Coturnix japonica: one gene and its partner. The protein of the gene in region 1 purifies or fractionates together with the protein of each later gene. This does not show direct contact. Links are inferred from orthologs where the notes say so. Each region holds a gene or a part of one and is shown on either strand. Other genes may lie near its edges. The genes, in order: TWF2 and CAPZB.

What was found.
Region 2: the proteins of TWF2 (region 1) and CAPZB purify together in Homo sapiens (co-immunoprecipitation; 3 studies listed by BioGRID and IntAct, with this or other methods). This does not show direct contact. The link is inferred for Coturnix japonica from reciprocal best matches to the Homo sapiens genes TWF2 and CAPZB.

What each region holds. Positions count from the first base shown.
Region 1 is NC_029527.1:1,796,793-1,801,291, forward strand, and holds the start of TWF2 (twinfilin-2), read right to left. Parts: upstream 2,838-4,499; 5' UTR 2,732-2,837; coding exon 2,707-2,731; intron 1-2,706. Other genes in the region: PPM1M (protein phosphatase 1M), read left to right, coding at 2,894-3,111, 3,746-3,869, 4,035-4,289. UniProt on the Homo sapiens protein: Actin-binding protein involved in motile and morphological processes. Inhibits actin polymerization, likely by sequestering G-actin. By capping the barbed ends of filaments, it also regulates motility.
Region 2 is NC_029536.1:4,083,598-4,087,402, forward strand, and holds part of CAPZB (F-actin-capping protein subunit beta), read right to left. Parts: intron 3,716-3,805; coding exon 3,599-3,715; intron 1-3,598. UniProt on the Homo sapiens protein: F-actin-capping proteins bind in a Ca(2+)-independent manner to the fast growing ends of actin filaments (barbed end) thereby blocking the exchange of subunits at these ends.

The DNA of each region.
Region 1 (4,499 bases):
CTTGTTCTATCACTATCCAACCTTGTAAACAGCCATTCCCCCTCCTGTTTATACACTCCCTTCAAGTATTGGAAGGCCACAATGAGGTCTTCCTGGAGCCTTCTCTTCTCAAAGCTAAACAAACCCAGTTCTTTCAACCTTTTGATGTTGGGCTCTATTCTGAAGGAGGATTTCATGTCACTGAATCTCAGCCCACAACACACATCTGCACATCCTTGTCTGGGTACCTCCAGCCACTCATCCCATGAGCCATTTGCTTCCATGTGCCTGCTTGGAAACCATCTCCCCCCTATCCTGACACCTCCAATCAGTCTCACTCTGGGTATCAGACCAGCAGTGGTCTCATTGCATTTAGAAGCTTTCAACACTCTCTTTCCAAGGGACTTCCTCTTCTCCACTACTTTAAGAGGCTTTTCTTATTTGCACATCCTCAAAATTACAGCTCGAGTGCAACTTCTGCAAGGGTCAGAGCCTGCCTCTGTGCATTCTGAGTCATGGGGCTGTTTGCTTTGTGTTTTGCATATGCCCAGGGCACGTCTGCTCTTTGCTGTAAAGTGAGGCCAGGAACCAGAGCACTGATGCCCAGGCTGGAAGCAGCAATCGTTACCCACAGATGGGGATCAGCTCCTCCAGGCCAGCCCTGCAGCAGCTCCCTGCACAGACAACAGCAGCAGGGAGGTTTTCATTTCCCCTCCCATCTCTCAGCAGAAACCCCATCACCAGCACTCCTCTATTGCCTGCAGAGTGCACCTACAGCCAAGGAATCACAGAATCTCTATGGTTGGCAAAGACCTCTAAGATCACTAAGTCCCCCCATCTACCCTCCCCCCTACCTGCTCATGTCCCTCAGTGCCACATCCCCATGGTTTTGGAACACCTGCATGGATGCTGACCCCCCCAGTCCATCCAATAGGGCCATCTTCCTACTGGAGCTTCCTTCTCATTAGAGTCAACCTCAGAGCAGAGCCAGCAGCTCCCAATGGGGATGTGCAGGGGGCAGCTCAGCAGCCACAACACCGCTATCCCCCCCCCCACTTCCTGCTCCTTCTTCACCTCTCACTTCATTCTTACCCATGCAAGTCACATCCTAGATGGAAAAAACCCTTTGAGACACGTTTTCAACCCCACATTCCTGCCACCAACCACCACCATCACCTCCCTCTCCCTGGGACCCTTCATCTTCTTCCCCAAAGTCAGCTCACACAGTGTGATGCTCCTCCCCCCATGCCCGGCACTCGCCTGCTTCCTGCTGCTCGGGGAAAGGAGGTCAGCCGACTTTCCAAGGCACCCACAGCCAGCCTTCCCATCACTGCTTAGATCAAATTCTCCCTTCTGAGCTACCACCGTGAGTCAGGCTGCCAGCTGAGGCTGGGTGGGTTACCCACAACACATGAAGATGGTTAGCAAACAGCTCAGGCACTCCCAGAGGGGGGAGGAAGCAGCAGCAGCGTTGCTGTGCTCATCTTAGAGTGAATCAGCTCGTTGACAGGGGAAGGAATCATGGTGACCAATGTGCCAGGGCTGGGGAGAATGAAGGACCCCTTGATACGCCCAGCCAGCAGCTTCCAAGCAGTTTGGGAAGGGGATGAGATTGCCTTGCTGGGGCTGGCATGGGTCAAGAGTAAGAGTGGTGGTGCCAATGCCTCTCTTCCACCTCTGTTTCAAGCACCAGGACACAGCAAACTCAGCCACAGCATTGCACCCTGCCTGCACTAAGAGCTCAGAGTGCTGTGCCCGCTGATTTGGTTCTGGTTTTGTTGTTGTTGCAATTGGAGGAAAGCACAAAGAGGTCCTGAGCTTCAATGTGGCAGCCGAAGGCTTGGAAGCAATGAATGAGAACCCAAGGGCTGAAGGCCACCAGCACTGCCAGGCCAAGCAGGAGCAGCATCTGAGCATTAAACCACATCCCAACTGCTGCTCCGTGAGCACCCAAAGGGAAGGATGCTCCTGGCCATCCTGTAGCCAAGGGAACAATGTGCTGTGAAGGAACAGTGGCCATAAATTCACCCTAAATTCTCCATGCTCCCAGAGAGGCATTAGCCACGAGGGAGGCACAGCGAGCTGGCACAGCTCGCCCAGCATAGCCCAGGGCCGGCATCTTTCCCACCTCTGCTCGCATATCAATTGGGTTCCATCAATTATGCAGTGCCTCCGGTCCTGATTAACGCTGCTCACGGAGGTGTCAGGTGAGAGAGGGGGGAAACGCCACGGAGATGCACACCGTGCCCCCCCCCAAACCTTGGGGCTGCCTCTGGGGGTCCCCATACACATCCTTCCCCCTAAGCCGGCCTTCTTCCAACACGGCAATTCCATAGGCAGCACGACCGGCGTTGGTTCTGCTTACAACGCAGCCCTGCGGCGGCCGGCAGCACGCACAGCGGTGGGCTCGCACCGCTCCCACCCTTCTCCCAGCTGGATTTTGGGCTCCCAGCGGGGCTGCACCGCTCTGCCCGGTGCTGGATCGCAGGGGAAGGCCCCGCAGGCTGCGCAGACCCCATCGCGTAACGGAGCGATGTAAGGCACCTTAACAGCACCGAGCCGCGTTCGGGCATCGCGAGGAGACAAAGGATGCGCGAACCCCCGCAGCACCGCGCTCCGATCGGCCGCGCTCCCCCCGACCCGCTCCGGCAGCACAACCCGCGGTGCTCGCCCCGCACAGCCCGGAACGAGCGGCGGGACCCGACGGTTCGTCCCGGCCCAACGTACCGTGGATGCCGGTCTGGTGCGTCATGGCTCCGCTCCGCTCCGCAACGTCCCGGGCAGGAAACGGCACCGCCGCCCGCACCGACGCTTCCGGAGCCGGCACCGGGCGGAGCCGCCGCCCGCACCGCCCCCGGGAGGAGCCGGACCCGGAGCCGCGCCCGGTTCGTGCGGGGGGAGCCCGCGGGGTTCCATGTCCGTCGAGTGGTTGCGGCGGCTGCGGCGGGGCGGCCCCGCGGAACAACGGCCCGGAGGTGCCCAGGAGTCGGTACCGCGCTCCCCGCAGCCCAACCCGCCGCTGTACCGCCGGCCCAAGTTCCTTCGGGGCGGAGAGGAGAGTCCGAGGGGCGGCAGGGCCGTGCGGGGCACCGGGCCGGAGCGGCCGCTGCCGTGGAGTTCGGGTTATGCCGAGTGAGTGCGGGGCTGGGGGTGCGTGGGGTTACGGAGCTGCGGGCGGGGAGAGGAACCCCCGGGGCGTTGGGCAGGGCTGGACGCGGTGAGCCCCTGCCCCGGTGCGTTCCTTGCGCCGTGGAGGCAGCGGTGGGCAGCAAACCCTCTGTTCTTCGGTATAGGGAGCCCGCGTGTCCCCAGGAGATGAGCTGCAGGGAGCACAGTGATAGCAAAGGGAAAAACACAACCCTGTAAATCTCTGTTTGTCTCGGTTATGGGAATAGGGATGTTGTAGTGGGACCACTCTGTGACCTGGGGGCTGTGGGATTGCAATGTGCAGGAGGTGAGCTAAGCAGGGATAGAAGGGCCCAGCATTAAGGCCACAAGGAGCCCTGTCACCAGCCTGGCACAGCTGCCAGCAGGAGCTGATGGAGGCAGGGGTGCCCCATCACAGCTCTTTCCCCATAACTCACTGTATCCCAGGTGAAGCTTTTTCCCACTGCCGTGAAGGACGCGATGTTTAGATTCCCAACCAAGAGATCCTTGACTTTGAGAAGGGAGCAAGTGAGCACGGAGCTGGAAGGAAGGCCAAGGGCTCAGTCCCATGTTGGCCAGGCAGTGCTTCACCACTCAGCTGGAGTGTTTGCACCTGCAGGGTTATCAATGCTGAGAAGTCAGAGTTCAATGAGGACCAGGCGGCGTGCTGCCAGATCTCTGTGCGCAGGAGGGAGCCAGGACTGGAGGAAGACCAGGAGTGGCTGATCCTGTGCTCCACGCAGGTACGGCCCCTCTCTGAGTTCCCCCAGGTGCCTCCAAGGGGTTCCTCCATCAGCTGGGCTGGAAGAGCCGGGCAGAACACGTTCAGCACGTCCTGAGTGTGAGCTGCCATCTGCATGGCTCCTCTCTGCCTCTTTTGGCTGCTTAATCTCTCTTCTCCCTTGCAGTTTTTGACTGGTTACTACTGGGCACTCTTCGATGGCCACGGTGGCCCAGAAGCTGCCATCATTGCTTCCAACTACCTGCACTACTGCATCAAGCAGAAGCTGGAGGAGGTCGTGGGGGCCATCACAGAGGCCCATCCCCCCATGCACTTGAGCGGGCGCTGTGTTTGTGACAGTGACCCCCAGTTCGTGGAGGAGAAGCACGTCCACGCAGAAGATGTGGTGGTGGGAGCCCTGGAAAACGCCTTCCAGGAATGTGTGAGTTCTCTGTCACGCAGCCAAAGGTGGCTGAGGCTGGGCTTTCTCTCTGCCTGGGAGGCAAAGGGCTCCCTTACTCTGAGCTCTCTCATTAGGAAGTGGTCAGGCACTGACTGCCCAGCTGCTTGGGTTTGCCACATGGCCAAGGGATGCTGTGCATCAAGCTCAGCTGTGGCTGCCAAATGAGTTCTGCAGCTCCTGGAGCAGGCA
Region 2 (3,805 bases), on another chromosome or scaffold:
TTACTGAGCAGTAATATATCACAGAGCACATCTTCCTGTGCGCAGGAAAAGCTCAGATTGCAGCAGACCAGCCTTCATCCAGCTCTGCAAAACGTTCCACCTTTGCTACAGAGTATTTCAAGCACGAAAATCAACACACATCTGCGCTGCTTTAATCTGAAATCCCAGGCTTCGCTTCCTCTACAACTTTATATCCTCCCCTTCCCATACCTCCAGATGTAAATAAACTCCAGGTTTGGAGCCAACGTCTTCCTCAGTGGACTGGCACTTCCTCACAATGCTCACCCAGGCTTAGTAAACACAGACGGGTTCTTTGTGCACAGCAGGAGCTCAGCAAGGCACCTGTTGGCCTTGCTCTTAAGGAGGGGGGCTCCAGAAAGCTGTTCAACAAAGTGCACATTTGATTGTTTGCCAGAAAGCTGGAAGGTTTCTTTCTACTTTGCATAAAATGAAACAGGACCATAGAATTGCTCTGAGTGAAATTAAAGCGCAGCCTGATGCAAGCACAAAGCATGGTCAAAGCAGCACGGTACCGTGGTGGACAGCACAAGTAATTGCAACACACACTGAGGATGGGACCTTAATGTCTGTCAGACAGAGAATCATGTGCCAAGCATCTGGCTCGAATCAGGATGGGGTGGGAGCTACCTGCTGCCATTGGAGTGTGTGCATGGTAACCAAAAAGCTGCTGGCATTTTTCATTCCCCTGTAAGCACCACTCCTTGTTGCAAACCGAAGGCGGTGTGTCCTGTCCTTTCCTCTCCTCTCAGACGTACAGCACTTCAATCTGTGGCCCCTCATTGACGCAGACAGCACAGAACATGCCGAGTTCCTTTCCAAATTCCAGCCTCGCTCCCTGTATTTATTGAAGCCTGCCAGTGTCAGATGTGAGCTGGGAGCTGCTTCCTCCATCCTGGCTGTGGTGCAGCAGCTCTGCGCTCTCTTGAACAGCATCCAGGCTTGTCCCCAGAACACAAGCTGCCTGGAGAGCACTCTAGTTGCAGGAACAGGCCTCTATCTGACTTTTCTTGCCTTCTGGGGCAAGACAGTAGCAATGGATATTGAATGTACAAAGCGAAAGCCTGAAGTTCTCATTTAGAAAACCATCAGGCTAAGTGAAGCTACACAAAGAGCTTCAGCCTCCCAAACCAGGACAAGCTCCTCAGTGTCTCACATCTCTCCCTCCTTATTCTGTCTACTTACAAACATAAAATGCTCTAGTCTCCCATTCCAAACAAAGAGACAAAACTAAAGGAGACACAGGACAGGGAAATGACTTCTGAGTAATAACTACCCAGAACAGAACTTGACATGGCCCCAGGTCAGGTATAATACTGAGATACACAGCATCTGGGGACAAGGCAGAGGAAAAAAAGGTTTTAGTCTTAAGAAATCTCTGCAACATTCAAGAAGAGCCTAAACAGGAGGATTTTAGGCTCTTACTTTCATATCCTTCCACAGTACCGTGCTGTCCGCTCATAGAACAAACAGGACTGCCTGACTGCTTGCACCCTGTGTCATCTGCAAACATCAGGACGGGGAATTACTGAGCAAGTGTTTCCATTTGAAGCTACAAATGCTCCCCATAGCATTTCAATGCGAGCCATGCCCAGCTCTTGGAAGCTGCCAGAGGTGGTGAATTAGGAGGCATTACATGAGCTGTTCCTTTGCGCCTGCTGCTGGCCACCAACTTAATCATTCCAGTCATCACTCGAAAAATACCCGATTTGCAGCTCGGAGGTGAAACTGGTTTCAAAGTAATGGCTCTCAACAGACTTCCCTTTCCAAGCACTGAAAGGTTCTCCCTGCCATCAGCATTTAAGCCAGGATATTACGAAACTTGTGAACACTTCAAAAGCCTGCACTGAAACACAAGGACATCTGCTGTTTGCATTTTAGGATCAAAGGTGGTCAAGTAGCTTCAATGTTGAGTTGACCAAAAACATGAACAATCTACTCTAGATAAAGGCACTTTGTAATGACGGTCAGAACAGCTTACTGATGCTGTCAGACAGTGACGTGTCATTCACATGATAACTACAACCTACTGTCAGTGTATGAGCTCACTGTAGACTGTATGAAAAGCCCAGCAAGAAGCAAAAATAGAACTGCTGTCCCATTAAGCGTATGGTGGCATCTGCAAAGCAGAGCTCTCCAGCCCAAAGCTAAATGCTAAAACTCAAGTTTCCATTGTTTGTGCAGGAGCAGTGCATCATTACCCCAGTGGCTCCTTTATGGTTACTTACATTGGAAGCAGGCCCCTGCTTTAATGCATCACATATGAATTAAATGATCTGCTGTTCAAATGATGACAGAAGCATGAATCTCCTCGCTAAAGCTGAGAGAGTGAAAGTCAAACTAAACAAGGCCTAGGAGTTCAGGCCAAGGTGTACTGAGGACACCCATCCTCAACAGACTCTTGTTTTCCTTGGCATATCTCTCACACACCATAAGTCCATGGCCAGAGTCAAGCCCTTGGCGTCCACTTCACAGCTATGATTTAAAGTATTAGGAAGGCCTGTGATTAAATATTTGTCCGGGTCACCATAACTCGAGTGTAATTACTGCAAACATTCTAAAAGAGTACGCAATGCTCAAAAACCATCTCCAGATGCTTCTTTTTCCCCTTCCTGTTATTTCTCCTATCAGTTTCTTCTGTAAGTCAACAAGGTGGAAAGAAAAATCACCCAGGTCTAGGGCAAGCTTCCATGTCTGCAAGAGTAACACAATTCAGTTCCTCCCGATGATCGTAGACCCTTTGTTCCCTTGCCTGACTCAAACCTGTACAAAACCACAGGCTACTTAACAGAGTCTGCATTGTCCTTTGTATCGAAAGCAACAGGCTGCCCTGGGAAGTCTCATAAAGGAGTTTTAGCAACTGCCAATCTCTCTAGTCACTCATGACCACACAATATGCCTCCTGTCCCCTGAGTTTATTACTCTTTTCGTGTCACTGACTTCCACAACCCAGATCTTAAACAACCCCAATTCATGCAGTACAGAGACAGCAACCTCTGGCAGGTGGCTGGGGCAGAGGCACCTTCAGGCAATGCACTCAGCTCTGCCAGAGCCTTTGACAGCAGTGCAGCCTAACAGTCACCATTCTGGCACCTTCCCTCTGAGAAATGGCTTTCTCAAGGGGAAGCCAAAGCAATTTGAGCTGGAATAAAAAGCAAATGCTTAGAAGACATGTCATTTTTTATCACTGTCCTGGTACTGCAGGACTAAAACACTAAAGAAGGATACAGGCAAATACTGAAAGCCTTTAAGAACAGAAGAACTGAAGGTCTAAGCACAATACAGGGCTGGTTGCAGTGGCCACAAATTAAAGACTTAAATGAACATCTAACCTCCTGCTGAATGTTTTGTATTTCTAATTGAAAGTTACACTGCCATCAAGCCAAATTCAAGGGGCTTCCTGGTAACCACACACTTGTGCCTTATATTCTTCAATGGAGTGCACATGCAGCACGAGAACAGACGTTGATCCAACACCTCACAAAATAAGCTTTCTGTTCCTGACTGAGGCTACCGGGTATATAAATAAGGAAAGGCATGCAGGGTCTGCAATGTGCACCGGCGCAGTATGCAGGCGTACCTGTCTGGTAAGGCTCCCGCCAAGGTTCATGGTACCAGAACCAGTTTTATTAGTCTGCAGCCACAGCATCACTGTGGAGGTCAGCTTGTAATGAGCAGTACGGCCGCTGGATTTCTCCTGCAAAAGGGAGGAAAAAGGAAAAACACAAAAGGTTACAAACCCTCCAGATACTACACAAGGTGGCTGAGCACAGAGGCTCCACGAGTA